Linked DNA regions of Tribolium castaneum. The protein of the gene in region 1 binds, or shares a complex with, the protein of each later gene. Links are inferred from orthologs where the notes say so. Each region holds a gene or a part of one and is shown on either strand. Other genes may lie near its edges.

The links.
Region 2: dre4 (region 1) and Ssrp share a complex: the UniProt entries of both Drosophila melanogaster proteins name them as parts of the FACT complex. The link is inferred for Tribolium castaneum from reciprocal best matches to the Drosophila melanogaster genes dre4 and Ssrp.

The regions. Positions count from the first base shown.
Region 1 is NC_087398.1:7,045,912-7,062,518, reverse strand, and holds dre4 (FACT complex subunit spt16), read left to right. Parts: upstream 1-6,282; 5' UTR 6,283-6,457; coding exon 6,458-8,207; intron 8,208-9,156; coding exon 9,157-9,764; intron 9,765-9,818; coding exon 9,819-10,799; 3' UTR 10,800-10,930; downstream 10,931-16,607. Other genes in the region: uncharacterized protein LOC660988, read left to right, coding at 130-263, 312-467; eIF2A (eukaryotic translation initiation factor 2A), read right to left, coding at 951-1,076, 1,121-1,471, 1,520-1,704, 1,751-2,208, 2,259-2,462, 2,510-2,728, 2,780-2,924, 2,976-3,000; S-formylglutathione hydrolase, read left to right, coding at 3,579-4,027, 4,077-4,299, 4,347-4,529; rho-7 (presenilins-associated rhomboid-like protein, mitochondrial), read right to left, coding at 4,614-4,704, 4,754-4,851, 4,902-5,003, 5,058-5,182, 5,231-5,489, 5,537-5,665, 5,712-5,898, 5,944-5,981; Snx21 (sorting nexin-21), read right to left, coding at 11,397-12,169, 12,214-12,229; mitochondrial nicotinamide adenine dinucleotide transporter SLC25A51, read left to right, coding at 12,579-12,770, 12,821-13,543. UniProt on the Drosophila melanogaster protein: Component of the FACT complex, a general chromatin factor that acts to reorganize nucleosomes. The FACT complex is involved in multiple processes that require DNA as a template such as mRNA elongation, DNA replication and DNA repair.
Region 2 is NC_087395.1:25,954,139-25,970,745, forward strand, and holds Ssrp (FACT complex subunit Ssrp1), read right to left. Parts: upstream 5,870-16,607; 5' UTR 5,710-5,869; coding exon 5,659-5,709; intron 5,610-5,658; coding exon 5,208-5,609; intron 4,996-5,207; coding exon 4,817-4,995; intron 4,769-4,816; coding exon 4,529-4,768; intron 4,475-4,528; coding exon 4,054-4,474; intron 4,004-4,053; coding exon 3,158-4,003; 3' UTR 3,129-3,157; downstream 1-3,128. Other genes in the region: dual specificity protein phosphatase 19, read right to left, coding at 1-329; serine-arginine protein 55, read right to left, coding at 453-1,301; tRNA pseudouridine synthase-like 1, read right to left, coding at 1,304-1,510, 2,024-2,282, 2,330-2,629, 2,675-2,803, 2,853-2,920; uncharacterized protein LOC661743, read left to right, coding at 6,824-6,861. UniProt on the Drosophila melanogaster protein: Component of the FACT complex, a general chromatin factor that acts to reorganize nucleosomes. The FACT complex is involved in multiple processes that require DNA as a template such as mRNA elongation, DNA replication and DNA repair.

The DNA.
Region 1 (16,607 bases):
AACCGTTATTAAAGTTTTATGTGTCACATTTTGTTTTACGACGAAATCCCATCAAACCGGAGCGTAAAATCCCCAATTAACTGCGTAAAAAACGAATGGGTTTAAAATATTTCAACTTGTGGTTGTTAGTTTTGGACGAAGTCGGCACCAAGGACGAGAATTCCGACGAACCTACTTTGAAAACCCGAAGCCTTCCTGCTTGGGTCCGCTCGAAGCCGCGACCTCTGTCAACTGAAGATGATTTAAACGACTTGTATGCAAAGGTGGGTGTTGAGATGGCTTTACAGGATAATAAAATGCGAAATTCTCAGGTGAACTTTAGCAAGAAACGAAAAAATCGCATGCGCAACGACGAAGCGGCGATTATAGCTCTAAGCAAATCCAGAAGTCAATTTCTTCACAAGGATACAGACTCCCTAGTCGACAACGAGGCTGTCATAGTCTACGACGAACGCACAGCTTTATAAACGATTTTTTTGAGACGAAATTTATATATTTTGGACATGTTTTTATTGATATTGAACATATCGTTGTTGCAATTTAAGACTACGTCAAATGACAAATAATTGATAGATTAAGATTCGAGGGTTAAAGTATTTTTCTGTGATAAATTCTTTCTTCTCATCATTGTAACATAATTCCCTAAGACTGGTCATGCATTTCTATGTTTAGATAGGTGGGATCGTGCTGTTTTTAATACTGGTAGGTATTATATCATTCAGCACCAGTAGCTGACTAGGACACTTATTACGTAGGGCGGCTTTTACAACGCCACATTCGTAAATAGTCAATGTGAGATATAATTTTGTACATAAAATACATTAAATTATTTTATTGTGTAATTTGAATCCTGTTTCAATAAAACGCAACGTATCGATTTTTAGTCTTTTTATTGAAAACAATAGTGTCAAATGCCGGTTATATGGATAGTAAAATTTCACAGCATTTGATTAAATTTGCAGTTGTTCCAATTCCTTCAACAAGTCCGCCTCGCCCTTAATTTTCGACAATTGATTGATTTCCAAGGGCTTTCCTTGAGCTTGTTGTTCCTTCAACTTCTCAATAGCATCCAATTTCTGGAACAAATATTGGCGAAAAATCACACGTGGAAATTCCTCACCTTTTTTATATTTTTAAGTTTTTTATCCTTCTCGGGATCCCCTGTCAAATTAATTTGGACGCTACTAACAACAGGCGCTGAAACTTCCTTATTGTCTTCTCCAGCTTCAAGTTTCTTGGCTTTTTTCGCTTCGCGCTTCTTCTTCTGCTTTAGAGACGCTTTTGACTGAGAGTCTGCCCCCGGCTTGTGGGATTGTTCCTCATCATCGTCTAAGTTGAAACGTATTGTTGGACGGTTGCGCGCAGAAGGGGGCCGATAGGCCTGTTTCGAAGCCACCGGCTGGCTGGGGGCTATACCCTCAATTTTTTCCGACGTTATAACCGGGTCTTTGAACGCGTATTTGGGAAATTTCTACAAAATCAAGGTGAAACAAGCGTTTACGACCACCGTCTCTTATACCTTCCAACACACTTCATACAACTCTTCCTGGGGACCTGAATTTTTTTCGTGCAAAAGCGCCCCCGAATAGTGCCATATTTTATACCCATTTCCAATTCGCAGTCTGGGGGACGTTGTCGCCGTCAGGAAGTGGATGCCGTCCGGAGACCACTCCAAAAGCGTCGAGTCCGGCGCCTCACAATTTCCTAAAGCATTGTTAAATTAAATTTAAATAAAATATCTGGCACAAACCTATCAGTTTCCTCGCCGCCACGTCCCACACCTCCACATGTCCCCTCAAATTCCCAAAACCGCCCAAAAGCACAAGATTTCCCTGGGGATTATAGTAGAGTGCGTTCCTTGGCCCGGTGCCAAATTCGAAAACCGGTTCACACTTCAAATTAAAAATTGTGGCTTTGGCTGGTACAAAGCCGTAAACGACACAAAATTCGTGATTTTTTGGCGACCAAGCCACGCTGTAAATTGGCCCTTCCTTGCTCATTGTAACCATGGCTGTTTGCCCGTTCAAGCCCATAAAATGGAGGCCTTGCTTGCCATAGTAGGAACCGCCGGTTTTGTCCACTTCTGTCGTTGTTAAAAGGAGGGCGTTGTTGCCTTTAGAATTCCAGTAAAATTCGACTTTATCAGCTTGGAAGAAGCTTTTGCTAGCGATTGATTGCATTGCGTCAAAGTTTGGATATTTAAACAGTCTTAAAAGAAAGTCTCAGTCATTTTCCCCTACAGTGCGAGGAATAGTTACTTTCCAAATGACGGCTGACCTGAGGCTCCAGGCACGTGGCAAAGAATGAAATACGTCCCAACGTTTGGAGATAAACTGAACGCCGCGATTTTGTGGCAATTTATTCGCGCCACAATTTTCTCAAAGTTGAGATCCTCGTAAAACACAACGTCGGTGTTTGAAATTCTGCTAAATAACTTCTCATCAGCGCTCCACTGAGGCTCCCTAGCAAGTCATTGTTACCTGTTCTACAAACTTTAGTAAATATTTACCAATTGCCTTGCTTCTTGTGAACAAAACTTTTGACAAGTTCACCAGTCTCGCTTTTGTAAATGTTTAAGTTTGGCTTTCCTTGTGGGTCGTCTTTAGTGACGTAAAACTGTTCCCAACTCATCAAATATGTACTTTTGGGGGAAAATGATAAGTAACAGGCTTTTGTACCTTGAATTGTTGCAACTTCGTTCCAATCCTCCGTACGCACAATTTTCAGGCTGCGATTTAACGAATTAATAATAAATCAAAGGTGAAAATCCTGTACTAACTTAGACCCGTCCACGAAAGCAAAATATTGCCCGTCAGGGCTAAACAACATGGTCTTGCAAGTCTTGCTCTGAACGGGGCCATATTGCCCCAAGTCGGTGAAGACAGGTGGGCCCACGTTCAACGTGATGCCACTCGAACTGCGAGCTAAATATTTGTGTTATCGCAGTCGCAGATTACGATTTTTTTAAGTTTTACCTGCAAATGGGATTGCTGAAGCCATGATGAGGTTACGTCCAACACGTGTTAGAAACACATTTCTAGCAAAAAGTAAGATAGAGTTGTAAAAAGTAATCAAATAAACAAGGTGGAGGACACGTTATTTGCCATTTTTCATTGAAAATTAAAGAAATTATGGCAAAAGAAAAATTTCTGTCATTGACGAATTGTCAAAAACCCCACCAGCCACTTGCTCTACCACACGTTGATCTACGAATTTTATTCAAATTGTTATAATATCGTTATACAAATTATTAGGTTTAATTTTGTAATCGTCTAAAAGTAGTATTAAAATTTGTAATAATAAATTATAACAGATAATGTAATTTTTAGAAGTAGTCCTAAAGTAAACTAGAGTAGTTCAAGTGATTTTCTAATTTTGACGTTTGAAGACCAATTTTCACATCAATCTATTTATTTATAAATTCCGGCCACCGGCGAGTATCGTCTTATCAACCGGTCAAAGCAGTGACGTGTTGACTTCCAAGACCAAAATTTTCCAAAGAGACTTGTTAAGATTTTTGGCACAAAAGGTAAAATTTCTGAACTGCACCGGCACGGTATTGCTTAAATCATCTTCAGATGGGCACCTTGACCGAAATTTCCTCAAACAAGATGTTTGGAGGCTTCCAGAAGGTGTTTTCCCACGAGTCCAAGTCCTTAGGCTGTGTCAGTAAATTTGGTGTTTATCTGCCGCCTCAAGCAGAGGGGAAGAAGCTCCCTGTTATTTATTGGTTGTCAGGACTGACCTGTTCAGAGGCCAATTTTATCGAAAAGTCAGGAGCACAGCGATACGCCGCTGAACATGGAGTCATTATTGTAAATCCTGACACCTCACCTAGGAACTTGAACATTGCTGGTGATTCAGAGTCTTGGGATTTTGGGGTCGGGGCCGGATTTTACGTCGATGCTACGCAGAAACCATGGAAAGACAACTACAAGATGTATAGCTACGTTACTAATGAGTTGGTGAAGATTATTAGTGATAATTTTCCAATTTTGAGTGGGAAACAGTCAATAATGGGGCACAGGTGCGTAATGAACACTTCGTTTCCGTAAAAATAACGGAAATGGTTTTAGTATGGGGGGACATGGGGCGTTAATTTGCGCTTTGAAAAACCCAGGGATGTATAAATCAGTCTCCGCTTTTGCCCCGATTTGTAACCCATCTAACTGTCCTTGGGGCATTAAGGCATTTAGTGGGTATTTGGGGCCCAAAGAGTCGGGCGAATGGGCGCAGTGGGACGCCACTGAGCTAGTCAAGACTTACAATGGCCCCCCATTGGAGCTTTTTGTAGATCAGGTAATAATTATATTTTAGAAGTAATGGTTGTACATTAATTTTTTTAGGGGTCTGAAGACAATTTCTTGCATGCCAAGCAACTGTTACCTGAAAATTTGATAGAAGCTTGCAAAACCCACCACGTCCCGGTTGTTTACAAAAAACGAGATGGGTATAATCACAGCTATTATTACATTGCTTCTTTCATAGAAGAGCACATTAAATACCACATGGAGCACTTGCTGAAGTAAGGGTTGGTAATAAAAACGCTGATTTTTAATAAATAATAATTATATACATTTTATTACAAAGTTTATAATAAATACTGGGAGTAGTTATTTTATGGAGCCCCTAAATTCGTGCCAGTAGTGGAGAATAGGTTCTCTTTTCGCCCACAAATATTGGTTGCCCCACAAAGCCCACATTCTGTAAAACAAAGCTAGGAAAAAACTTTAGCAATGAATTAATTTATTACATTCCACAAGCTGCTCCTCCTAAATGTGCAGCATGGTCGAAAAATTTCCAACCCATCAATACTCCAGCTGTGTCAATGCCCACGATTACTTTAATTGCCTATAAAAATAAATTTTAGAGGCAAATAATAACGAAATTTGCTGACATACAGCGCCTGCACTAAATGTAAAAATTGGCAGTAGAATAATCCCTAATTTGGTTTCAGGATATTGGGTGCAAACATACCCCAAAATCGCCATAATAGCCCCTGACTAAAATAAAATTTAACTTAAATTTTGATTTAAATGCTGGGAAAGTATATTTACAGCTCCTAGCGACAAGCCTGGTTGTTTGGTAATAACTTTGTAGACATAACTGGTAAAACTCGAAATAACTCCTGCACCCAAGTACAGTCCTAGGAACTGTTCTTTACCCAGACTGTGTACTGCACCTGAATATTTGAAGTTGGCAAAAATGTGGAGCCAAAGTAATATTTTACCTGTGCTAAAGCTGTGAAGTACGTACATATTAGCCAAGAGATGGAACCCTGAGTAATGGCTAAAAGTCGACAAAATCATGGGCCAGCACACACTTTTGCTTCCCGGGTTTGAACAAAAATATTTCAACATGAAGGGCTGCAACCTCGGAATCCTCCACGCGCCGAACACGAGCACGTTTATCAGACAAATAGGCACAAAAACCTTCTCACCAGGCGTCAAAAGCTTCCACTTTTCCTCAATTTGCCTCAATAAAGTATGCTAAAAACGCACAAGGTGAATCCAATTACGTCAATTTGGATATTTACAGATCTAGAATGGAATTCATCTGCTTGACGCTTAAACAGTCTTACTGGTTTTTTCAGCATTTTAATCGCATGTGCCCTCATGTTCTCATACTCCCATATCGCTGCGCCTACAAAGCAAGCGGCACTAAACTAAAATCAAACGTTTTGTAATTCTTCTCGTTCTGTTCTTTGTTACCCCAATCGTAAATCCGAAAGGCTTCCACAAATTGCGTGGGTGTAAACTGGAGCCTCCTAAACTGACGTCTTGGAACGGAGTTTCAATACTGCTAACGTTGGGCTTGGGGGGCTCATTGTTGCGGCGGCGGAAATTACGTACGGACTTCGGGGGCGAATTTTTCATTAAAAGCGTACTTCGAGAGGTGCTACATTCTGGGGGTTAATAGTGGGAAAGTTGGGTTAGGTCTCACCATAACTCGCCCAGCCGAAGCATGCGGCTCAGAGCCATAATCCTGGCAATAACTATGCTCTATTTTAACGGAAAAACCATGAAATTTTGCGAAAAATTAACGCAAGTTGTGAAATTGTGTTGTCGAATAAACTAAATGGTGGGGACAGGAGTGTGCGTTATGTTGGTGTCTCTGACAGAAAATATTACTCGTTAATTTTTAATTAACTTGAGTCGCTGTTTTAGATAAGGTCACGATAAGGAATAGATTTTAATTAAAGCTGATTGGTTGCGATCGTATCGCTTAAAATGTGGAAAAATGGGCAAATTCGGAAATTCGTTTCGAAATAATGGTTTATTTGGTGTTGGAGTGATGGCAGTCTTGTGACATTTTGTTGACATTTGCGAGTTACCGCTCTTTTGTGTTTGCGCAAAGTGCGCAAAATAACGTCTCGATCTGGCGCCTTCTCTTCATGTAACGCCGCTGCGTTGTTGTGTGGTGTTAAATGTGTAAATATCGCATGTAACAATCGACAATGGCAAACATAAATTTGGACAAAGAAACTTTTCACCGCCGCTTAAAGAAGTTGTACAGTGCTTGGCAAAAATCGGAGAGCGAGAATGGTTTCTCTAAGATGGATGCTTTGGTTACAGCCGTCGGTGTGGACGACGAAGTGGTTTACAGTAAGTCGGGGGCCCTCCAGACCTGGCTTTTGGGCTACGAACTGACCGACACCATCATGGTCCTGACCGAGAAGAAAGCCCACTTCCTGGCCAGTAAGAAAAAAATTGATTTTCTGAGACAAGCCGAAACTAAGGACGAGAATTCGATTCAGTTGTCTCTGCATGTGCGAGACCGCACGAGCGACGAGGCCAATTTCAAGCTCCTCATTGACGCGATCAAAGAGAGCAAGAACGGGAAAACAATCGGGGTTTTCTCCAAAGACAACTACCCGGGCGCTTTCATGGACGCCTGGCGCGCGGCTTTGTCCAAAGTTAGCTTCCAGACAGTTGATGTGAGCGCGGCTATTGCCTATTTGCTATCGCCAAAGGAAGATTCAGAAATCATAACAATTAAAAAAGCCTGCATGGTGAGTGTCGATGTGTTTACCAAGTATCTCAAAGACCAGATAATGGAGATAATTGACTCCGATCGCAAAGTCAAGCACAGCAAACTGGCGGAAGGCGTGGAGTCTGCAATCGCCGACAAAAAATACGTTTCGGGCGTCGATGTTTCTCAGGTTGATATGTGCTATCCTGCCATAATCCAGTCAGGGGGCAACTACAGCCTAAAATTCAGTGTAGTGAGTGACAAGAACACTCTACACTTTGGGGCCATCATATGCTCGCTGGGCGCCCGGTACAAGTCCTACTGTTCAAACATTGTCCGCACGTTGCTTGTGAACCCAAACGAACAAGTACAAAACAATTATAATTTCCTCGTTACCCTTGAAGAAGAGGTTTTGAAAAAATTGCAAGCCGGGACAAAGCTTTCAGAGGTATACGAAGCCGGTTACAACTTTGTTAAGAAAGAAAAGCCTGAACTGGCGGATAATCTGACCAAAAATTTCGGTTTCGCAACGGGGATTGAATTCAAAGAGAGCTCGCTTATGATCGGCCCAAAAACAACTCTCCCGGCGAAAAAGGGAATGGTCTTCAACGTCAACATGGGTTTTAGCAACCTGGAGAACAAAGATGCGACCGATAAAGAGGGCAAAACGTACGCGCTGTTTATTGGCGACACTGTGATGGTGAATGAAGGCCAACCGGCCTCGGTCCTCACCATGTCCAAGAAGAAAATCAAAAATATCGGGATCTTTCTCAAGGATGAGTCCGATGATGAGGATAACGACGATGAGAAAGAAAATGCCCCAAAACCTGAAATACTAGGGAGGGGCAAACGCACCGCCGTTTTGGAGTCCAAACTTAGAACCGAACATACGTCTGAAGAGAAACGAAAAGAGCATCAGAAGGAATTGGCTTCGATGCTGAACGAGAAAGCAAAGGAACGGCTTGCTAAACAATCGGGATCGAAGGATGTTGAAAAAGTTAGGAAAAGCACAGTGTCGTATAAAAATGTCAATCAAATGCCCCGTGTGCCTGAAGTCAAAGAACTGAAACTCTACGTGGATCAGAAATATGAAACTGTCATTTTGCCGATTTATGGAATTGCAGTGCCGTTCCATATCTCCACCATTAAGAATATATCGCAGTCGGTCGAAGGCGATTACACGTACCTTCGGATCAACTTTTTCCATCCCGGATCCACCATGGGCAGGACCGATGGTAAGAAAATAAACGTAACTGATTAGTTACGTTTATTTAAAAAAAATCTGAGGATTTTAATTGAAATATGTCATTGAAAAATGCCCGCGGTATGTTTTATTTAATTTATGCATTGTGTATCAAGTTGGGAAAGTTCATAATGCACCATTACGTATCTGTTTAAATATTTAAGTAAATTTGTATCAAATTTATGGTCATTATTTAAGCTTCTGCATCACCTGAAATTATGGTTTTCCAAATAAAAATTACAAGTTTAATGTTTTTAAACGAAATGTGTAATATCTTTAGTTCTTTGCTGTAACTTGTAATTCTGTTTGCAAGTTAAACTTTTATTGGTCGATTCTTTGACGATTTAAAAGTTTAATACACCAAAATTTAACATTTTTTGAGTTGCAGTCGAGAAGTCGCGATTAATTATGACGAATTTTTAATCAGATATTTTACACATCTGACTGTACCTCCTCTATTTTTTTGTAATTTTTCACTTTAATTTGATCTAAATTATTTGTGGAATTCAAGGAAAGTACTGTAAAAATATTATCAAAAATTTGAATAAATCGAATTAAGATGCAAACATTTTGCGTTATGTTGTCACACGATGTGACGCTGGTATTTACCGTAAAAAATTATTCCTTTTTAAGAATATTGGTCCATTTTTTGTGGCGTTATTCACAATCACTGTACGTCGTAATAATACAGTGCCGAAGTCCTGCCACTATATTTATAAATAGTGCCATAAAAACGAACAATTTTTCGATAAATCCTTTCATCGTCTCATCTTATCATCAGTTAATTGTACATATTTGAAAAATTACACTTTTGCACTTTTTCAAAAACGAATAAGAATGATTTAAAAAGTATTTGTTATGAAAGGGTGTCTTAGCTGAGATGACGCCACAGTTTGTATCTATGAATTTTCATTTTAACTGTGGTTGTTTATTACTTCAAGGTGGCAACTACCAGCAGCCTGAAGCCACTTTCGTCAAAGAAGTTACCTACCGCAGTTTGAACACCAAAGAGCCCGGAGAAATTTCCCCTCCCTCTTCGAACCTAAACACTGCATTCCGACTAATCAAGGAAGTACAACGAAAATTCAAAACCCGCGAAGCGGAAGAACGCGAAAAAGAAGATCTTGTTAAACAAGACACGCTGGTCTTGTCGCAGAACAAGGGCAATCCCAAGCTTAAAGATCTTTACATACGACCTAATATCGTCACAAAGCGTATGACCGGCGCTTTGGAAGCTCACAGTAACGGTTTCCGGTACACTTCAGTCAGAGGCGACAAAGTTGATATTTTATACAATAATATTAAGAATGCATTCTTTCAACCTTGCGACGGTGAAATGATCATACTTTTGCATTTTCACCTGAAGCATGCGATCATGTTCGGGAAAAAGAAGCACGTGGACGTGCAGTTTTACACGGAAGTAGGTGAAATCACGACTGATTTAGGCAAACACCAGCATATGCATGATAGGGATGATTTGGCTGCTGAGCAGTCTGAGAGGGAGTTGAGGCACAAGCTGAAGACGGCGTTCAAGAGCTTTTGCGAAAAGGTGGGTTCATAAGCTGATTGTTTGTGTTTTTATTTGTGTGTTTCGTATTTTTAGGTCGAAGCGATGACAAAACAAGAAATCGAGTTCGATACGCCGTTCCGGGAGCTCGGCTTTCCCGGAGCCCCCTACAGGTCCACAGTATTACTCCAGCCGACGTCGGGTTGCCTCGTCAATTTAACCGAATGGCCCCCGTTCGTAATTACGCTCGAAGACGTCGAATTAGTCCACTTCGAAAGAGTCCAATTCCATTTGAAAAACTTCGATATGATTTTCGTCTTCAAGGACTACCAACGCAAAACCGCAATGGTGAACGCCATCCCGATGAATATGCTGGACCATGTCAAAGAATGGCTCAACTCTTGCGACATCCGCTACTCCGAAGGTGTCCAGTCGTTAAACTGGGTCAAAATCATGAAAACAATCACCGATGATCCCGAGGGATTTTTCGAAAGCGGCGGATGGACGTTCCTGGACCCGGAATCGGACGAAGAAGCCCAGGCCCAAGAGGAGGAAACGGAGGACGAGGACGAAGTTTACGAACCGACCGACATGGAAAGCGTGTCGGAAGAAAGCGAGGAAGATTCCGAATACTCTGAAGGCGACACTGAGGAGAGTGACGAAAGCGCTTCCGGGGAGGACGATCTAGGATCTGATGAAGAATCCGGGAAGGACTGGTCCGACCTGGAGCGGGAAGCAGCCGAGGAGGACCGGGAACGCAATTTCGACGATACTTTCGACCGGAAAAAGTCGCATCACAAGTCGAGCAAACCCAGCAAACACTCGTCGAGTAAAAGCAACCACAAAGGCTCGCCGAGCAAACATTCAAACAACCATCATTCCTCAAGTAGCAAACATTCGAGTTCGAAACATAGCAGCAGAGATAGTGATAGGCGTAAATCTTCTTCAAGTTCGAAATCGAAATCTTCACCCTCGAAAGACAAGGACCGCCATCACAGAAGCTCGCATTCGGATTCGAAAAAGCGCAGTCGGGAGGAGAGCAGCGATAAACACAAGTCCAAGAAGTCGAAGAAGTAATTCGAGGAAGTTGTTTTTACCGTTGTATTTGTATAAGTTATTTTTATGTTAGAGATTTGTGTTTCAAGTTCTGTGTTTCGTTCAGGCTAAGTTCTTTCCACTGAATGTACAGATTAAACTTTTGATATAAACCGTGGTTTAATTTGCACGGAATTCTTAGTTTTCGTGTATTACATTTTATGAAGTTATTGCAAAACATGTAATAAATTTGAAAAGACCAAATGCTGTTGCTTGATGACAAACTGACGGCGTTTTACGGCTGTAAATTTGGCAAGAAATTGGAATTTTTGGGGAGAGGTAAGTGGGTATATTTACAACAGAGAGGACTTTTGGTCTACTTAAGTTGTATGAGTGAGTTATCCCGCGGTGTAAGTACAAAAAAAAAATTATTATCTATTTTTTGCTCAAAGTACTAAAACAAAAAGCAAATAAACAAGATGTATATTCAGGCGTGAATAAAACAGAAAATATTGAGTATTGCTACCCATAACTGCAAATATCAGTCGTCAAACAAATAAAACTCCAAAATAAATACGTTAACAATATCAGTAAAATATCGCGATGCTAATTAAGTACACAACACTGGTGTGAAAATTGCTACAACCCAAATATCTTTCCCTCCACTGCCTTCACTTCGTCCAACAAAGTCGATTGCGGATTGATTTTGACCCCTTGTCTCTTCAAATCTTGCAACCGCTGCTCAAGCAGATCTTTATTTCGTCCATTCTGCCACCAAATTGTGATACAAGCATTCAATAAAGGTACATACAACTCCAACAAATCACTATCACTAACCCCCTCATATCTATGTAGGGCTAAATCAGCCCATTTTTGGCATTGTGAACACTCGGGAATTGACATGCAGCACCCTAACAGTCTACATAAAGCGATAAGCACGACCGGCGACCGATCAGTATAAAATTTGTTTAGTAGTTTAAAATTGTTTTCAAGCAGCGGCAAAGCGGACGAAAAGTCCCGTTTTTCCAAAAACGTCCGTGCTTTCTCCACTTCAACGCCTTGAAGGAACTCGACTAAAGCCTTAGACGCTCGCAGTTTAGATTCGGTGCAAATGTGCCTCAACAGGGACTCAAAGCCCGTGCTTCTGGTGGAAATCAGCTCATTATCAAAGTTTCCTATTATCACTTTTTTGGGAAATGTAACATTGGTCATTAAGTTCGGGTGTTCCTTCTTTAGGGCGCTGTAAAGGTTCAGGAAGTGCGTGTATCGCCGCTCCACCACCGAAGGGCTCAAATCGTCGTTTCCTGAAATGTGACGCACTTGCAGCGTGTACACTACATGTTTCCTTTCCTCGCCTTCGTCACATATTCGCGCTGACAGTATTTCGAAAACTAGTCCCTGCTTTTCGTTGCCTGAAACCAAACGTAGGAAATGACAAAATAAGCGATTTGGTCACCTAAGATTTGGGTCATATTTGAGATGTTTTGTTCACATAATTACGCCCCCACGCAGTCAATATTGCCCTTATCCCCACCTACAAGTACTTTTATACACCTTTGTGTACACATTTTGCAGATAACAACAAAAGGTAGATAAAAAACGTCACTGTCACTTGTCAATAATTAACCTAAACGTCAGTAGTGACGTCACGCCCGCTGCGATGCGCGAATTACTGGCACAAAAATGATTTGTTAACACCCCTGAACTGAAGTAAATTATGAATTTGTGATAATTGTATCCCTAGTCAAGTAAACCAAATTGTTATTAAAGGTAAGGGGGTGAGTTCGCCTTTCGGAGTTACATAACCTAAGATGTTGACAGATGTCAAAATTTGTCTCGAATGTCAGTATGCTGGACATTGATAAAATCGAGGATTATGACCCAACGGTTGGGGACACCCTGGTTCTGGAGGACATTTACCAGATAAATTGGAAGGAGTTTGCATGCGGTTGGAGCGCTGCATTTATTAACATTACAATAACCTATCCGATAAACAAAGTGATTTTTCGACAGGTTATTGCGCTAATTTTCCCACAAATTGGGGCTTAAACGGCTAGTTTCAGATGTTGCATGGCGTTAACGCGTTAAGTGCGTTTCGCCAGCTGCAGAAAGAAGGAATGTTTTATTTATATCGGGGCATGCTGCCCCCTTTGTGCCAAAAGACGCTCTCGATGTCGCTAATGTTTGGGATTTACGAGGAGGTGCGGCGCCCGCTTATGCTGTCGGGCTTTAATGGGTATTTGTCGAAGTTTGCCGGGGGCATGGTTGCGGGAACCACCGAGGCGATCTTGATGCCGTTTGAGCGGATACAGACGCTGCTTGCGGACGCACATTACCACAAGGAGTTCAGGAACACGCTGCATGCATTTAAAGTTGTAGGACTCAACCACGGGTTTCGGGAGTACTACCGGGGTTTGGTCCCGGTTTTGCTCCGAAATGGGCCCTCCAATGTGGGCTTTTTTGTCATCAGGGATGAAGTACAATACTACAGACCTAGGTTTAATTCAAAGTTTTACGAAACTCTTAGCGAATTTTTTTGTGGTGCTATGATAGGTGTGTTTTTGTCCAGCGTGTTTTATCCACTTAATGTTCTCAAAGTTGCGATGCAGAGCAAGATTGGGGGCGGCTATGAGAATATTTTTAAGGTTTTAGTACAAATTTATAACGAAAGAGGTAGGAAAATTAGGTATATTTATCACGGAGTTCAGACCAACTGTACGAGAGCATTTATCAGCTGGGGAGTGATGAATGCGGCTTATGAGAATTTAAAAAGTATTGTATCGTAAGTGTTGTTCAATTTGTGTGATGTTTCATGTAACTACAACTCATAAGATCACCTGTTTCGTTAAGCAAAGTATTTTTTTAAAACTGCTATTTATTTATACAATAAAGATTTTTGTTGAACACTGTGTTTCTTTTACCTTTACCTTCACTTACTCAAAGCATTTCAAAGAACGTAATAAAAAAAAACAAATAAAGAAATTTTTAGCAAAAGTAAAATGCTGCTTTATTTCTGTACCCTAGGATAAAAGTGTACTAAGTTCAAACTTACGAATACGGAATAAAGTGAATTGAAAATTTAAAAAATATTTTTTTTCATCACAACTGGGGAGTTGTCAAAAAAATCTGCACTTAATTATTCAAAAACATAAAGAAGTTTTCTTGGAAGTTCTTATTCAGAAAAAAATTATAATAGTTTGGTTTCCTTTTTGGTTTTTCGAAAATAATATCTAATAAAAAATAAAAGTTTGTTGATATTAATTGATTTTAAACATAGTCAACTTTCTACCAATTGCTCCAAGTTTGAGCATTTTTCTAAAACTGTCTCTAACTTTATTTTTTACTTTCTTTACTTTACATACTTAATTTTTTGTTGAAATTGTGTAAACAACTCACGTTTGGGAGATACTATACTACATATTAATGAGTTCCTATAAATAAAGGTATGTATATAGTTGTCAGCTTTTCGACAAATAAAGGGCTTTGATCCTCCTGCCTCTTTATAAGTCGCTATGTTAAAATTAAGACAAGGTAAGTTAGATCAAAAATTAAAATTTATTTATTTGGAGAAAAAACATACGTAAACGCCTGTAGTTATATTTTATTCCATCGGAAATTGTTTATTTTAAATGAACCATATAAAAAAACTTGTAATGAAGCGTAGAATTCTTTGAGTAATTTAATAGGTATCAGGTATCAGAAAATAATACTTGTTAAAGTAATAAATAGTAGTTATTTCGTGTTCACCAATATTCTTTTTATATAAGTATCTGCTTATGTTTAAACTTTCGTTATTTTTTACTTCATTTTCAAATCCAGTTTTGAGCATGCAAAGATTTGAAATTTGCATTGGTATAAATGTTTTTTTAACTCGTTTTTTTCTTGTTAGAAGGTTTTCTAAATCCAACCACCTCTTAAATAAGTATTTACCAGGGACTATGGTGTCTTTCCCCTATTGTAGTTCCAAGTTGATATTTCACTAGTGGTTAAGATTTAAACTTCTTAAATTGGTTTTAGTAGATAAATTTTATTGCGACATTTATTTTGAGCCAGGCTTTATGTTGGATTAGTCTTAGACCCTTAAGGACGACTAAATTCTTCCCCTTGTTTTAAATACCGTTTGTAAATAACAAAGGACAAGAGCAAAACTGATTTAGTTTAAGTAGATGTAAGTTAAATGTTTGTATTAAATATGGATTAATTTGTTCATTTGTACATTAACACAATAACATGAAATCATTTCCGTGGGCGATCGCCATTAGTTTTATCAGTTCTTTGTAGCAAACGACTCTGTGAAAAACACATTAATTAAAATGCCATTTTCGAAGTTTGCTGTCAGTGCAAATACAGTGAGCATATAATTATACAGCCGAGATAGCTATCGCCATCACCACATCTAAAAATGGTGACATTTTATAATTATATTTGTTTGTAAGTTGTGTAATTTAACCGCAGACAAATTAAGATACAAAACTGATAAGACAAATTGTCTGTTTTATATCCTGTACATTTGACGGAACCACATTTAGGTAATTGTTAACGGATAATTATTATCTATTAAAACGTGAGCTTCAACGTGACAATAATTTTATGGTTGTGATTCCTCGAGAGTCGCTCAGAAACTCAAATTTGTTTCTCATGCTCGAAATTTCCATTTTTGGGCAAAATAATGACGTCAACACGAAAAAATATACGTGAGATCAATTGATTGTTCTTTAATAGCTCCCCATACGTTGAGATACAGGGTCCACCTGCTTTCGGTAATTTTTATTTGTGGGGTCTAGCGCGTATCCATGAGGGGAATGGTTGGATAATTGATATATAATTTAGAGTCTCTGGAGTTTTAGGCAATAATAGTTATTATCTAAATGCTTATGTTTGCATGATCCTGCCCTTTTATTACCTTCGGTTCGTTATTATTGTTTCAATTTTACTAAAAACTCGGAGCTTTTATTTAATTGGTTCTTTTCGTGTTGCGAAGCAGTCAATTTGCAAATCCTCTCGTGGATATTTTACCTCGGCTTTATTGCCCTCAGATTACAAGTAGCAAGACGATGTGATACCGACAATAATTTCTCAATTACTTACCGCAGCAGTGGCGCAACAAATCTGGGCCTTAGGGAGTACACACTTTTATATTACTACTTATTTAAAACGGACTGAATTTTATATTATAATGATCATTTGGTCTAATAATAAAAGCAATTATTGTCGTTGACAAACGTAGTCGTGTGCTTTTAAACTCTAAATTTGCGAACTTACCTAGATCTAATTACAGCTTGAAGCGAGTATTAGTTCCGAGACGTTAACTGGCGTCGCTCAATGTTCGGCTGCTTGTATTTTTATAGCGCCTTCTTGAAATTGTTCCCTGAATGCCCCTTAACGTTAATTTGATTTTTTCCTTTATTTTACGGAATCAAGAAGTGTGTTGTAAGCTTATTTAGGTTATAAAAGACCACATCCCTGTTGATTGGGCAATAAACTTAATGAAATGGAGACAAAAAGGGGTTTATTTAAATGAAAAACAAGGCTTATTCCTAATTGGCTTTAAAAGAGGGGCATTTATGTCGAAAATTAAGAAAAAATTACCGCCTTAAAAGTAATTAAATCAGTTTTTATTCGAAACTAATTTGTTGTCATCATGAATAAAGCTCTCACGATTTTTGTGTTATGTGGAATAAATTTAACGTGGAAGGCACTTTGAGGCCATTAAAAATCGCAGGCAATATACTTGTAAATTGCAGTTTATTACGGTTAAGTGCCGGCGTATTAACAACAAAAACTCGGTGAGCTTTCAAGCTATTAATACCACAATATTACTACACGTGATCAATGGACGTAATAATGGTG
Region 2 (16,607 bases), on another chromosome or scaffold:
AAGTCTGTTTCCGGTAAATCCAAACACTCGACGTATTTATGATTTCTGTCACACTCGACTTGAATTCCGACACTCAGAACGTTTTCAATTTGGTAATTTTGCAAAACTGTTGAATCACAACAATCCTGAGATCCCAAATAGAGATAATCGGTGATTTTTGCCGGGACGTTATCTGGTTTATTATCGACGATAAATCCGTATTGTGCTGTGGCCACTTGTGTGCTTTCTGCACCACTTTGTTCAAATTTCCTGCCGTCCAAATGTGTCAAAATCGTGGTCGTGGGTCTCAAAGTGTGTTTTTTCGTGCGCAATTCGTCCAAGAAACTCATTACAAATAATATTATATACAAAAGTATATAACGCGATTATGATTAAACAAAATATATGGTTATAAATGCTAAAATATAGAGGACTAAAAGCTACAACTTTTTACTACAAGTGTGTTTGAAGAATTAGTTGGGTGAGGCAGAGCGCGATCTGGACTTGCTGCGTTCTTTGCTTGGGGATCTTGACCTGGACCTGGAGGCCTCCTTCGACGGTTCCCTTGATCGTTTGGGCGACCTTGAGCGCGATCTGGATCTCTCGACCGACTTCTTGCGCGAGTTAGATCTGGAGCGATCGACTGACTTTTTGCGCGAGTTTGATCTGGATCTGGACTTGCTGTTGGGTTTGGCGCTGGCCGATCTGGAGCGGCTTTTAGATCTGGAGCGGCTTCGGGACCTGGAGCGGCTGCGGGAGCGACTACGGCTGCTGTACGAGCCTGATCGTCTACTGCGTTTTCGATCCTCGATCAGCCGAATGCGTCTGCCGTTCAGCTCGGTATCGTCTAGCTTTTCGATGGCGTTTTTGAGGTCTGAGTACGAGGCGAACTCGACGACGCCCTCGTTACGGTGCTGTTTATGGGCGTCGGCATAAGTGACTTCGCCCGCCTGGCGCATGTAATCTTTCAGGTCTTGCCAGCTAATGCGAGACGAGAGGTTTTCGACGATAAGTCGGTAATTGGTTCTGGTGGGGGGCCCGTAGCGTTCATGGGAGCGGTGGTCGCTGCGGCTGGACCATTGGTCTCGACCTCGGGGTGTCCCTCGGGCCCGTTCGACAGTCACACGCTCCCCTAAAAGTTTTTTACCGTTTAATTCATATACAGCATCGTCGGCATCGCGATGATCATCAAATTCAACAAACCCGTAGCCGTTTTTGATGAGCACGTCCCGCATGCGCCCGTAGCCCCTGAAAAAGCGCTCTAAGTCCCGCTCGGTGGTCCCGTACGGCAACCCCCCGACGTACACGCGAGACCCTACCATCGCTATTGGCCCCCTTGCAAGCCCTCTCTAAACGCGGACCTATGCCGATCCGAATACTCCACCTCGCAAAGGTACAGACCGTACGCCGGCACTGTCTTTATTCGCTCGTCCCAACTCCGATGCGACGGCACTTCCAGCATCAACTTTAGCTCCCTACGCGTTTTTTTACCTTGACCTACGGCTATCAGCGATGCCACCATGCGACGCACCTGGCAAAAGAAACACTTTTACAACGGCTGTCTACCTTCGAAAGGAAGCCATGTTGGAACGTTTCCCTCCAACTCCACCGGCCAATTTTTAGGTTATGAAACGTGTCCCAACCAAAAACAACGCTCCCACAAACACACAAGCCATACTCACTAAAAACGATATTTACTTGACTAGATCCAACGCCTCGCTACTTTTTCGACCAAATTTCAAACGTTTTAACCACTTTTTTCACACCAAAAAGGAACGAGATCAAAGTCTGCACGGAAATTACGAAAATTCTAGAGTGACGCAGCACTACCAACCCAACCATGACATCATCAATTTTCACAAACACGCAAACACCACAATTAAAACCAACCGCCACCCCGCAACACCGCAAGCCCTAACACAGCCCCAATCCAACCCACCTTTTGCGTCCAAACAGCCGCAAAAACACAATTACACGAAATCATTCAAAGCGGCCAAGTTGCCGGTCTGGGCCACAAACCGCGCGCAATTCGAGTCGTACCCACCTGGCGGTAAAGAAAACCAGTCGCTTGGACATAAATATCGTAAAACTGGTAATTCTCAGCGGAACCTGACGCAAATCGGGGCCAACTAAAGGAACTATAAGTTAGAGCCCTCCCATCGCAAACATCAACCCTGGTAACAACTCGCCGAGTGATTTTGTCGGGGTCGTGCGACCCGCGCCCCATAAAAGTCCGAAAATCATGCAGTCCTTCAAACACTTTAGCCGCCTCTTTCATTTCGTCAATATTGAAGGAATCACAGCTACAATTTTGCGTTATTTAGCCGCCTTCACCCAAAAAATGCCTTACTAAAAGAATAAACAACGCTGGTATTCTTCAATTGGTAATAAATTGAGAATGGTCGCATGTTCCGTTACTCCAGTCTTTGCGATCGCAATTCGGTAGAGATAAGTCCGCGAGATTGCAGTATGTCGACAGTGGAAATCCGGGGGGACCCAATACGTCTTAATTACACGAATGGGGACTTCATTTTTGTCAAAGTATCGATTGAGACAGATTGTTATAGTTTTGGGTTCATACTCGAGCTCATTCGAGCGGTACAGATCAACATGGCACGTGGAATTTAAAGCGTGGACCCCCGAATCGGTCCTAAAACCACACCTTGCACGTGGTTCAATTTACACAATTTTTTACCTGCTAGACAAATACACGACAGGGTCGTTAGTCGGGTTCAGTCGTTTCAAAGCCATTTCGAGCTGCCCTTGGACCGTGGAGGGGTCATCGGGCCGGGGCATTCGACCGGTGACTTGCCTCTGAGCCCCCCTAAAAAAAACATGAAAGAGCCGCGACCGTGACTGAAGCAAGCAAATACATGAAAGGGGTCCCGATGTACGAAAAGTGGAGCAAGTAGCGATTCAGAGCCATTTTCGTGAAATACATCGCTGTTATTAAAGCGAGGTTATGTCACAAAAATAATGGTAAATAACGTGCTGTTTCCCATTTATATCTCGAATTAAAACAAGCAAGGGGCCCCCACATGCACAGTAAGCATCAAAGGGCGATTCAATGTAATTTGCGCCGATTATAGCGTTTTTTGCGAAATTAAGGTTATGTAAGATTAAGGTTATGTAATAAATAAAGCCGGGTGTTTGTTAAACATATTTATTAAATAGAAACTTAATCGCTATCGGAATTGGCGTCACTTGACGCGGGTGTGCTCTCCTCGCTTTCGGATTTATTCTTCTTTTTCTTGTCTTTGGGTTTTCCGCGTTCGCTATCGGAACCCTTCCTTTTCTTGCCTTTATCATCATCACTGTCGCTACTCGAGTCGTCGTCTTCGATAAATTCCCGACTTTTGACTTGACTGGGTTTGACGGAAGGCATAGAAGAGGTTTTCTTCTTTGCTGGTGCTTTTTTCTCACTTGACTTTTTATCTTCCGATTTTGAACCCCCTGAAGCTTCATACTCCTTCATGGCCTTGTTGTACTCCTCTTTGGCTTTGGCCGCTTTCCCCTCCCACTCAGACTTATCCTTCAATTCCTTCCACATCTCTCCACCTTTCTTTGCAATTTCGGTGATTTTAATCCCGGGATTATCTGCCTTGATTTTATCCCTCATCTCATTTAACCATAGCATGAACGCCGTCGATGGTCTTTTCGGTTTATTTTCGTCCTTTGATTTCTTGGCCCGCTTTTGGCGCGGTTTCTCCGACACTGTCTTAGCCGGTTTCTTCTTTTCTTTCTTCTCCTTCTTCTCTTTTTTGTGCTTCTTCTTATGTTCATCACCGGAACCTTTCTCTTCGTCTTCGGACGACGTTGAGCTCGGACTTGAATCAAACTCTTCAGCAACGTCACTCTCATCCTGAGTTGGCTTGAAATCTTCATCAGTACTCTCATCTTCACTTGGACCATCGTCATCATCTTCATCACGTTCTTGTGCCTCGGCCTTAACCCTCTCCAAGTAGGCATCAGGGGCCGCCTCATTATCCGAATCGCCAAAATCGTCATTATAGCCCCCTTTATCCTGAAAGAACCAATCAAATTAAACCAAACCAAAACGAGTGAAATTGTTACGTTTTTGCCCCGATTTTTGATATTCAGTTTCTTGGTGGTAATGAAATCAAACAATTTGTTGTATTCTTCCTTCTCAATGCTGCTAAAGGTGTGGACAGTCCCGGATTTGAGCTCAATTTCGAAATCAAACGAACGGGTACTTCCCCCACCTCGGGCGAAATTCACAGAAGCCACTTCCTCGAAACGAATGTGAATTGGGGGCTTGTGGACGTACATGAAGCCCCGTTCAAGGGGGTACAAGTAACCAGCGGCTGCCTTGAACGAACAGCCGATAGCTGGGGTCCCTGAATGCCCGACAAAGCCCCCCGGGCCGGTCAGTTTTCGATTAATTATAACCTTCATGACTTTGCCTAAGACCTCGTAAGTGGGGCCTGATAACTCCTTATCCAGCTTGCCCTCATACTTGTCCTTGAGTTCCTCACTGGAATTATTAATTAGGAAAAAATTTTGGCCTAATAATTAATTAATTAATTACTCGGTAAAGGGTAATTCGATCGAAGTCTCCTCTTCTTGACCAAATAACAAGACCAAAAAATGATACCTGGTTTGGCCCTGTTTGATGGGTGGATCAAGACTCACTACGAAAAACATCTGCCGGTTGTCTTTGTGTGGAAGGAGAAACAAACGCAAGACTGTCGACATTGGGATTTTATAATCGAATGTTTTTCCATGCAATTGGAAAAACGTTTGGAAAATTTTAATATCGTAACGACCACTAGAAAAAAATTCTTAGGGAAATTTATTTGTGGTTTTTCAAACCAACCGTGGTGTGAGACACTGAATCTCCCGAAATATCGCAATAGCGTCGCCTGAGACACTGATAACCGAAGCCTTCTTCATGACTTGTTTTTGGAAGGCTTCAACTGGGTCCACGTCTCCGGCTAATTCGTTTGAAGGAATGAAAAATCGCATTTCCATGAGGCTTACAGGGGCGTCATCATTCTAAAATCGATTAGTTTTTGACAAAACGGCCAGAAAACGGGGAAAAAAGTTTGATTTCTAACAAAAAACGTGTAATTTCGAACGTAACAGTTAAAAACAATTTGGTGATTTTGTTATGTTTTAACGAAATTTTAAGAAAAAAGCTGAGAAACGTGTTTAAAACCTTGGTAAAAGTAAAAAGTTTGAAATAAAAATAAGCGCCCCCTTCCCACCTGATGAAACTCCATCGTGATTTCATTCTTCCCCGCCGTACATTGAGACACATGATTGAGCGGAATCTCGAAAGCGCTGTTATGTCCCACCTCGAAGCTCAAAACCGAGCCGTTGAACTTGGCTGTGCCCCAGTTCCAGCCCTTGAGACTCAACTCCTTCTCCAGCATGTCGATTTTGTAAGTGTTCGAGAAGAATTTGGCGATACGTTCCTTTTCCGCGTCCTTAAACCCGACAAATCGGTGCAAAGTGCCGTTCTTGAGGAACACGCGGATCCCCAACGAACCGGCAAAGTTCTGGAAATTGACTGCCTCGAAATCGGACGCCGAAATTGACTCGACTTTGCCCGTCTTCGAGTTTTTGAAAATGATGTTTTGGTCGGTCATTTTGAGTTTACCGCCGGTCTGAAACGAGGAAATTGAGGGGGAATTGGGGGAATGGGGGCTAACGTACCATGCAGCCTTTGACTTCGGCAGAGATGTCCGAATATTCCAGGAAATCCATCTTGGGGAAAATTCACTCAAAGTTTGGTTTAATTTACGAAAAAAACAATATAAAAACACAAAAACTTAGCTCAAGTATTTTTTGTGGTGTTTCTTTTTGTTTGGATTTTTTTTACAGGTTATGCCGCCATTTGACGCAACTTCGGCCTTGAAGTCAGGCTGCCACAACAAGCCCGCGAAACCACTAGAAATAAGTTGGCAGCGTTACGCAATTAAAAAAAATTACAAATTCAAAATTGTTATTTTATTGTAATTACAAATGTAAATTACTTAGTATTCATTGTAATAAACAAATAAACGAGAGGGCTAAATTTATTTTGTTTTATTTTTGCCCACAACCAAAAATTAGTTCTTTTCATTCTGAAACCAAAATACAACTTTTTAAATTTATGAGGTGTAATAAAATTCTGCCCGACTTGAGTTACTTTGCATAAAGCGTATTCAGTTTCAATAATAATGTCACTTGACATAAAAAATGCTCTTGTGGTCGCAAATAATCCGACTGGAAACCACAAACAGTCAAAATGAAGAAAAAGTTATTTGTGGTCGCTTTTATCTGAAAGTTTGGAAATTATCGTAAATGTTGACGCGGTTTTGGATTTTTTTTTGGAAATTCTATTAAACCAAATCAATAAAATCATGGGTGCTCAAATATTTATAAAATGGTAGGTGCGTGGACCGAAAAATATATAAAAAACGACGATATTTTAAATAATTATTAAAAAACTCCTTTCTCCGCTTTGAATGGGCAAAATCGCAGGTTGATGACTTTTTTCCTTCCGTCAATGACAGCAATACCGGAGTTGGCTGTCAAAGCCCGGCATTCACCGGATCCGCCAATCCGGTGCCGCCATTCCGGTCATATGACCCCAACTTGTTTATTTTGAGCATCAGCATCTTGATTTCAGGAGAGGCACTCGACGAGTGCAGTGGTCGTGTAAAGTGTCTCGTAATAACGCGAGTTGCTGAAAAAAAAATTCAGCGCGTTTCAGTTTTACGAACGTTTTCATTCGCTATGTAAGAAAAAAACAAAACGCGCGAATGGCAACGAGTGCTGTTTTGTGACCTGAAAAATTCTCCTCTTCCATTTGCTCGTCTTGTATGTAGTTTGGAAAATGCTGGGCGTCTTAAAGCGACGTTGGAAACCCAAAAGGTGAGATATTTTGAGAAATGGCGACCTTGACGCTTTTTAACACCTCTGTAAAAATAGACCACGAGGAGAAGGCGCGTTTGTAAATTTTTGCCAAATCTTTTATGCATGTGGATGAAAAGTAGGCCGTTTTTCCGTTTTGCAATTGTTTGGTTTATTATTGTTATTGATCCCGGTAGCCTGGCAATCCCCTCCGCGATGCTCAGCTGTTCCACTGTTGATATCTTATCGATCCGGGCAAACTAACCTCAATCTCCACCAAAAACCTATATACCACTCTTTTTCCTAGCTAATTTTTACGTTTTTGAGGAAAAAAATCCAGGAAATTCGGGTTAGAGGAAACGATAAATTGATAAAGTGATAAGATATTTGCTGAATTATAGCTAATTCGTCGAAAGTATGAGTATATTGGATGAGTCCAAAGGGTGGCTCAGTGGGAGTCTTTAAATAAAGTAGGATGAAATTTATGAGATACAAAGAAAGTAAATATTGGGGGTCATGGCGTGAAGAATGTGAATGTTGCTAAAAATAGCTCATTGAATAAAATCGACTTTTGTTAAAATTTAATTAATCATAAATGCAAGACTTGACCTGATTTTGTTGGGGATTTATTCCATTTTCGCATTGTTTTGTGCGTTTGTGTGACAGTTGGCTTTGACACTTTGACACCTTGTATTAAGTTGGCCTTGACTGTTTGACAGACAACACCCTGTATCTACCTTATTTTTATGAATTTTATGATTTATGATAGTTGATTTAAAACTTGACTTTTAGTCTAAAATCTTCAGAACTTGCAAAAATAATGTCATTTTTTGACTTTATTCTTTGTTTTATTGGCTTATCTTTTAAGAAAATTTGCGCAGGAATTGAATTTTTACTGAATAAACGCTTAGAAAATTTTCGGTCATTTTCGACCCAAATTTTGTGATTTTTTCGTTCTAGTTTAATAAAAACATAGAAAAAAACTTAATTTTTGGTCTAAAAACGTGTTTAAATCCTCAGAACTTGCAAAAATAAAATAATTTTTTACACAATTCTGTGGTTTATTGGCTTACTTTTTAAGGAATTTATGTTTTTCTGAGCAGGAATATCTGGAAACTTTTGATTTTTTTGAGTGTTGCCATGGCAACGGTGAATGGTCCATATTTTTCATTTTCCATACTGTTATGTTGCTTTTGGGACCGTAAATAGTGGGTTACTGCTCTAGGGCCAGAAACCGTTTGTCTGTCTGAAATTCGACACTTTTTACGCATCACGAGTTGCAAGAAAGACGAGACAGAGGGTAAAAAATATTTTCATGGTTTCGTACAAACGTTCCACTCGAAAGCGCTCCAACAAGTCAACTCTTTTGTTATTTTACCATCGACTATATAATTTCTGAACCAATTGTAATACAATAATGGTAGTGGTTAAACGGAGAATGAATATTTATTTGATTTTTTATGCAACAGTTGCCACCCCTGCAAGACTGCTTGCTACAAGAGAAAGGAGTTTAAGTACAGTTGTCTCAAATGTTCGTTTTATTGCGTTGAGGATTAACTTACACATAAAAGTGGAAGACTAAACACAATGAATCTGATGGGGAAAAATTAAAACTTTTCCAGTTTATTACAAACTTTGATCAGGGATTCAATTGAAAGCGTGATGGTATTTTGTTTATTCTCTAAGTTTACAAACCTAATAAAATTAATGAAAAGCCCGAACGTGTAATTTCCCAAAATTAATATTAAAGTCGTGATATGATCTTCCCGAACGCTGAAAACGTGACTAAATCTCTGTAAAAATTCAAATGAACCAGAAGTAAGACCTGGGTCACTAGATCCCACCATTCCCATCATTGTCTCTCATTATCTTATTCAAATTTCGCTGTTTTATTTTTATCAAAACAATGCCGAAGGTCACGTTGAACACATCCGGCATATTGTGCCAACTGCGAAGTCCCGGATATCTCCAAATAGCCCTAGAAAATTCCGACTTTTTCCGACGCATTGCGTGGCCCACAATTGTAAATGCAATAACTTGGAAAGTGGATATACAGAGTGTAGGTCGCTGAACTCGACTCTCGTTGCCAGACAGCGTGACGCCTCCACTTCTCACAAACGCGAAAAAACTTTGATTAATCATCACCTAGTCACCGAAAAAAGCAAAAAACTCAAAATCCATACCGGGTATGGAAATTGGTTTTTCGGGTTTTTTGCCCCAAATCAAGCCTAATCGAGGGAACAAACCTCTACGCGCCCAAAACCAGTCAAAAAACCGGAAGTTTTGCTCATTAGAGGAGCGGCTCATTGTGATTTGAGTCACTAAAGGGGAATTCAATGGACGTGGGCCAAGAAGCAAAAGTAAAACGAGCTATTTTCAACGCGAAATGACCTCTTTACTCCTCAAACACCTGACTGGAAAAATCTTTCACTTTCGACGCGTGGGCCGTATTGCATCATTTACACACAGTTGACATAAAATGGAATGATGGCTGAAGTATGGCTTCCTGGTGCGCGAAACAAAGGGAGGAAAGTGGATATTTTCCATACTTGTGCAACTTCCGGCCCAAGTTTTAGCCGAAACATCCGCGACCCAAAATAAACTAAATCAAACGGTTGAATGTGAAACTAAGGAAATCTAATCGAAATGTAAAGAAATTTCCAAAATTGTCAAAAAAAATGATAAATAAACAGAAAAATAAATAGAAGAGTAAATAAAAGAAGAAAAAAAAAAGAAAATGAAACAAGAGATATTTTCTTTATTTTATCACAAAAAGAGACATTTGTGCTTTTTCGATTTGTGATTTTCTGGGTAAAAACTACTACAGAAATTCGGGCAATATCTACTTAAATCTTCCAAACTGTTGGAGCAAAACAGGAAATTAAAGATGTTTACAAGAGATGTTTACGTGCTGTGTTTTTTTCGTTCAAATACATATATTAAATCTTTTAAACTTCTCTTCGTAAAGTTGTGACGGGAATACCTTGTAGCTTTTCCATAAAATATAAAACTGAGGCTCTAGTTATGTGCGGCGCTGATAATTATCATGAATTAATGTCTCTCTCCGCGTTCTATTTATGCCTCACATGTGGAGTACATTTCAAAAACACCGCTCCTGAGGAATGCGTCTTGAATTTCGTGTTTTATCGGGGATGTTCTATTTCCAAGCCGCTGTTGAAAAACTCGGATATTTACCATTTTAACATTTCCAAGTTTAATGTGGCGCTAAATCCGAATTTTCCTTTTATTATGCTCATAAAAGCGGGATGTGTGTCAACGAAATTATCGCAATGCCATGCGGAAATGGGGCTATAGATAGAACGAACAATGATTGCAGCGACCCACTTGAACAAAATCAAATTCTGGGAGAATGCACTTTCGCCCAAAAATCGCACATCATGGGAAAGTCGAACGCTTTGATAATTAGCGACGATGAATATTTATGAGCGTTTGACGGGATTGCGCAAAAAATACGACACTTTCTAATATTCTCCAATATTTTAATATAAATTAGTGGACACTTTATTTATTTTTGATCATAGAATCCTAATTAAATTTGTGCCAACGTAATTTTTTTTTGATTTATTTTTGAAAAAAAAATCAAAATTTTTAAAAATAATTTGAAAAATCCGATAACTGGGAAATGCGAATTTTGTAAAATCTTTAGTCCTTTCTTAATTATCTTATGGTTGGGCAGTGAGGATGGCACTGCTTGGAAGCAGCTGTGTACATGTTAGCCACCAGCAAGATATTTTCAGTGATATAGAAAAAATTCAATTTCAAGTAACAAAAAATTGTGGTCTCGTTATTTGGAAAGAGAAGCATTTGCCTGTATTTTACGTTTTGGGAAAAGCGGTCTCCCGATATTAATAAACATTATAAAAAGTCCTTAGTACCTACATTAGATTTTGTATTTCTTAGATAAAAATTTAACCCCAATATCTCGAAGTCATTTAGTAAAGGATTGGTTTTGTCTGTCTTTTACACATTTCCCTTGAGATGCTATGCAAAATTTTTAAAACTATGTATTTTTTTCTGTATCTCTGTGCACCCGATTTTTTTTCTACAATTCCTTATAGTAATTATTATCAATGAATGGAAAATATTAATAGTTGTATTAATAAAATTAAAAATATGAAAACATTAATTAACCAAACTGTCGTTCTAAAACAAACGATGCTTAAATGATGTTTTGTACAAAAAAATTTGAAAGAAATTCACGTACAAGTACCTACATACAAAAAAAAATTAAACATTTAATAGCAAACGCTGAATTCTGGATTATTATACGAGTGGTTTCTATTTGTTTCGTCGATTTGTTCAGTCCATTTCAGTTTTTTTGTTAACTTTTTTTGTAATGGAAAGCAGGTGTACTTGGGCTTCCCTTAGAGTTTCAACATCTTCCGAGAGAATCTTTTGTATTTCTGAGAATTTAATTGCACAAAAATACGAATTTAGCGTTATTTGACATTTGCTGTCTGCTCAGCTTTCTCAATCTCCATTATTAGAAATCTTCATTACAAATTGATTTTTTACCGAAAATAATCAAATTAAATTTTAACCTATTGTTTTCCAAAGTAAAAAGTAGATTTTGACGTATTCTAGACTTTTGATCGTTTATCCATTTTTCCATTTTTGAGCAATGAAAAAGGAACACATAAAAATTACATAAAAAAATAACAAGAAAACATTACTTTAAAAAGAAAAAAACATCACTGATGCTTGATGGATCAAAAATTCAGTTCAAAGAATTAATACGATAATTCTGTCCATGAATACCATCAGATACAGAAACATCATTTTTCACATCTTCCAGTCTTAGTTGATCGAGGTTTATTTTGCCCTCTCTTCCTCTCACCCCGCTCTTGACTATGGGAGACTTTCGGCGGTAAAAATTGTCAAAGTAAAATGAAAATTCGCGTTTTTTTCAAAACTAATAATAATTTTCCTAGTTTCTTTGGTCGCATTCTATTCGTATCATCACAGTGCATCTTTCCCCTACACGTTTTTTTTTAATATTGTAAATATTTCTTCAAAATTTTAACAAAAAAATGTTAATTAATTTTTTTTTCAAAAAATACTTGTTTTTGTCGCACACTTGGTTTAACTCTGTCGCCAATACAATTTTTTTCCAAGACGAAATTAAAACACCAAAATCCCGTGTAAACATTGTCGCCAGAACACACAAACCACCGTCGAACCCGTAAATATTTTCGTTCGTTATTTACTCGCAGGTCCAAGGTTGTAAATATTTAGCTATCGGTAGCGAAATTTTCCCATTTGTCATTCAGGTAAAGTTTGAAAGTGCATTCGTGTCGCGATAATAAGGTCAGACACTGTCCCATTATCGAGTGGGCTTGGTTTCGATAAACCCAAAGTGGGCGATTCAACAACCTACTCGATTTTGAATCTATGTATGTGAGAAAAACACATTCAAGCCCAATCCTAATGTCACGGCAGATGTTTTTGGCCAAATAACTGTTTTGGTGCATCTGTTGGCCCGCTTTGCATAATTTCGGATTAAGTCAATTGGCGTCAAATCGGGCCGATTGAGTGGCCGGCCACCAAACTCACTCAGTCGCCAGCTGTTCCTCTTCCACCTAAATTTAGTGTCTGTGTTTTTGTTATTTCCGTTTTCGTCACCTAAGCCATATGGCTTACCGCACTAAGCAAACACTTTGCTCTTTTGTAGTACTCTCTTTGCGTGTGAAAATCAATAAACAGGGAAAAAACCGAGCTAAATGAACGCTCGGATGGGCACGTGTTACTTGAACTCCATCTCGAATTGATTACATCCGCGGACAGGTGCTCCGTTTTCGTTCACCTGTTGTTAATTTTTATCAAGCGTTGATAATTGATTGTTGGAGATGTTGCGTCAACCTATTATCTTTTTACAACTTTCATTGACGGTTGACACGAATCGAACTAATTATGTGTGCGCTTTATTCGGATTTCTATACACATGTTACGCCATTTTTGGGATTGAGTGCGTGTGGCAAGCGGAACGTAATTTAGGTTACCAGAGGTTAAAATTAGAAAAGATGTCTCTCCGTAATACTGCACAAAATAACTTGCTTGGTGGCCCGAAATTTCAGCATCTTCACCAAGCTGCAAAAAAGTTATCCCTCAACTGACTTTTTATTTTAAATTTAGTCAATGAATTTATGTTGTTTTCACAGGACGGACAACACAATTTTGGACAGAGTTTATCGTTTGTTTAATCAGAAATGTTTTTATGGCCAACTATGCAAAAATAGCTGTGGTTAGTAAGAAATTTTCTACAATGTCAAAAAAGCCAACATAACTTGAAAATTATCACAGATAGGTATAGGGAATGCTAATACAAATCGATGCAGAAAAAAATTCTCTTCCATCCAGTAAAATAAAAATTAGGACATCTCATATGAAAAAAAAATAAGTTATGGGTACTTGAAGTTGTCCAAACTTAACCTTGAAATTTTTGGGTTTATTAACTTCTTTTCCAATTTTGAACACACTGGAGAACAGATATAGGCTTTCTCTTTGAATTCTCCAAATATGATTTCGAAATCTCGGAAAATAAGAGAGTTACTGATTTTTTAAGTGACAGGTGCAAATCCAAAAATTTTCAAAAAATCTTAAATAGCTCGAAAACGGTTAAACTTAGGTATAGGGAAAGCTCATAAAAACGGCCTTAAAATAACTCAACTAATCCAAAAACGCAGTGAAAAATATAGCTTTCCATTTAAAATAAGAAAACTGAGAGCGATTTCCGGTATAACCGGACGTGCCACCATCTTGAAAATATTTTCATCGAGCGGAACTCAACGGATTATGGCTGAGTACCAACTTTCAAATAAATATCTTTATTAGAACCTTCCATACTTCTGATGTGGGGTTTAGACGGAACACACTGTATAAAATTTTTTGCCGACGTTTTTGCTTTCAAATTTAAATAAAAAATACAGTCTAATGAAAAAGAAAGAATTTGTTTGTAAAGATTCGAGTTTATTGAAGAATCTCCAATAAAAATGAAAATATTGTGCGATAAATCGTCTTCGCATTGTATTTGTTGACCCATCGACAGGTGGAGTTTAACGATGCGTTACAATTCACGCTAACAAAGCGCAATTACCGACCTTTCGACGGTGGATGTGGTGATAAATCCCCATCTCTAAACAATACAGCGTGATTCGAAAAAGTGCGCCACATGATTTACTTTTGAATGAAATTCCGTAGGTGTCTAAGCCGCCTACCAGTGTTGTGTGTGTTAAAAACACGGGCTTGGCGGCTTGTGATCCAGTATTTGCCGCGAACACGCAAAACGATTTATTACCACTGGTGTATCTTTAGCTGCTCCTACATGAACATGAATCAATGGACCGATTCTTGCATAAGCGGCAGAGAAAGCACAAAAATTAAACAAATGGACTCAAGATGGGTCTCAGTTGGGGAAACAAGTAACGGGATTGGGCTGTCGCGTTTTATGCTCGCTGGATACACAAAAGCAAGGAAAAAATTTTTTTTATTTATTTTATTCTGTAAAAAAACAGTCAGTTGTAAAAATCTTTTGAAAAAGGCCCGAATGGCCAGTCCGGGCCTGTTCTTCCGTTTCAATTACTTGCATAGCCAATAGATTGAGATTTATCGCGTTTAAGTCAACTCTTCCACGTCTCTTATTTTATTATGCAAATGGCATTCATGTCTTTGGCCAATGAATCATTCGAACCACGTCATTTCTCTCCCCCTGGAATAAAATATGTAGTGTAGCCCGTAGCTGAATAAACACCGTTTCATCAAAATCAGGTTTCGTCCAGAGAAGAATCCAAGTTGTAAATTGAAATTGTAAATTGGAGCCGCCTCAGTTTGAGTCTCTAATTAAGTTTTCTCCTTCCTGTGGGAAACTCTCACGCATCATCATCATCATGACGGTCAGGTGTAATTTTCTCTTCGTGAAAAACGTGCCTCTCCGAATCCCCCTTTTCAGTGCAATTTGCACCACGTCATCATCACTATATTGTGATCTAATCAGGCATGCTGTGCCCCCTTTGAAGCCCAGTCCTGTCGTGAGTCATCGAGTGAATTTTTTCCAAAGAGCTTTTGACACTATGCCAAAGTTTCATCAGACAGGATGACGATATCCGGCTTATCAGCGCACCGGCGCGGCGGCGGGACTACTAATTAATTATCAAAATGTTTGACTATTTTTATTTGAAGCAATTAGGAAAGACTAAAATAAGCAAAGTTGGTTGAACTTGCACTTGAGCTAGAGAAGAGAGCCTTACCGGTAATTGCCCGCCTTTGGGATTCAATTGTTGCCTGAAAAATGCCTCCTCTACGCCGGCAGCTGACACGAACGTATAATTTCTCGAATTACTCAAATTACAGACGACTTTTCCTCGGTTAGCTCACGCTGGGGAGATATATTGATCGGAGGTGGCCTTGCATGGGCACAACCATGGTCAACATCCAGCTTTTAACACTGATATTTAGAATTTGAAATTGAGTTTTTTAAACAATTAGAATTTGCGCCAATTTGGGGAAAACATTATTTGACACTTTTCGTTAAAATTTTAAAGAAATATTTATAATATTTCAAAATCGTGTTGGGGAAGATGCACTGCGATGATACGAATAGAATGCGACCAAAGAAACTAGAAAAAATATTATTAGTTTTGAACGAAACGCGAATTTTCATTTTACTTTGACAATTTTTACCGCCGAAAGTCTCCCATAGTCAAGTGCGGGGTGAGAGGAAGAGAGGGCAAAATAAACCTCGATCAACTAAGACTGGAAGATGTGAAAAATGATGTTCCTGTATCTGCTGGTATTTATAGACAGAATTGTATTAATTCTATGAACTGAATTTTTGATGCATCAAGCTTCAGTGATGTTTTTTCTTTTTGAAGTAATGTTTTATTGTTACTTTTTTATGTAACTTTTATGTGTTCTTTTTTCATTGCTCAAAACTGGAAAAATGGATAAACGATCAAAAGTCTAGAATACGTCAAAATCTAGTTTTTACTTTGGAAAACAATAGATTAAAATTTAATTTGATTATTTTCGGTAAAAAATCAATTTGTAATGAAGATTTCTAATAATGGAGATTGAGAAAGCTGAGCAGACAGCAAATGTCAAATAACGCTAAATTCGTATTTTTGTGCAATTAAATTCTCAGAAATACAAAAGATTCTCTCGGAAGATGTTGGAACTCTAAGGGAAGCACAAGTACACCTGCTTTCCATTACAAAAAAAGTTAACAAAAAAACTGAAATGGACTGAACAAATCGACGAAACAAATAGAAACCACTCGTATAATAATCCAGAATTCAGCGTTTGCTATTAAATGTTTAATTTTTTTTGTATATAGGTACTTGTACGTGAATTTCTTTCAAATTTTTTTGCACAAGACTTCATTTAAGCATCGGTTGTTTTAGAACGACAGTTTGGTTAATTAATGTTTTCATATTTTTAATTTTATTAATACAACTATTAATATTTTCTGTTCATTGATAATAATTACTATAAGGAATTGTAGAAAAAAATTCGGGTGCATAGAATTACAGAAAAAAATCCATAGTTCTAAAAATTTTGCGTAGCATCTGAAGGAAAATGTGTAAAAGACAGACAAAATCAATCTTTTACTAAATGACTTCGAGATTGGGGTTAAATTTTTATCCAAAAGATACAAAATCTAATGTATGTACTAAGGACTTTTTATAATGTTTATTAATATCGGGAGACCGCTTTTCCCATCTCTGTCCAAATAACGAGACCACAATTTTTTT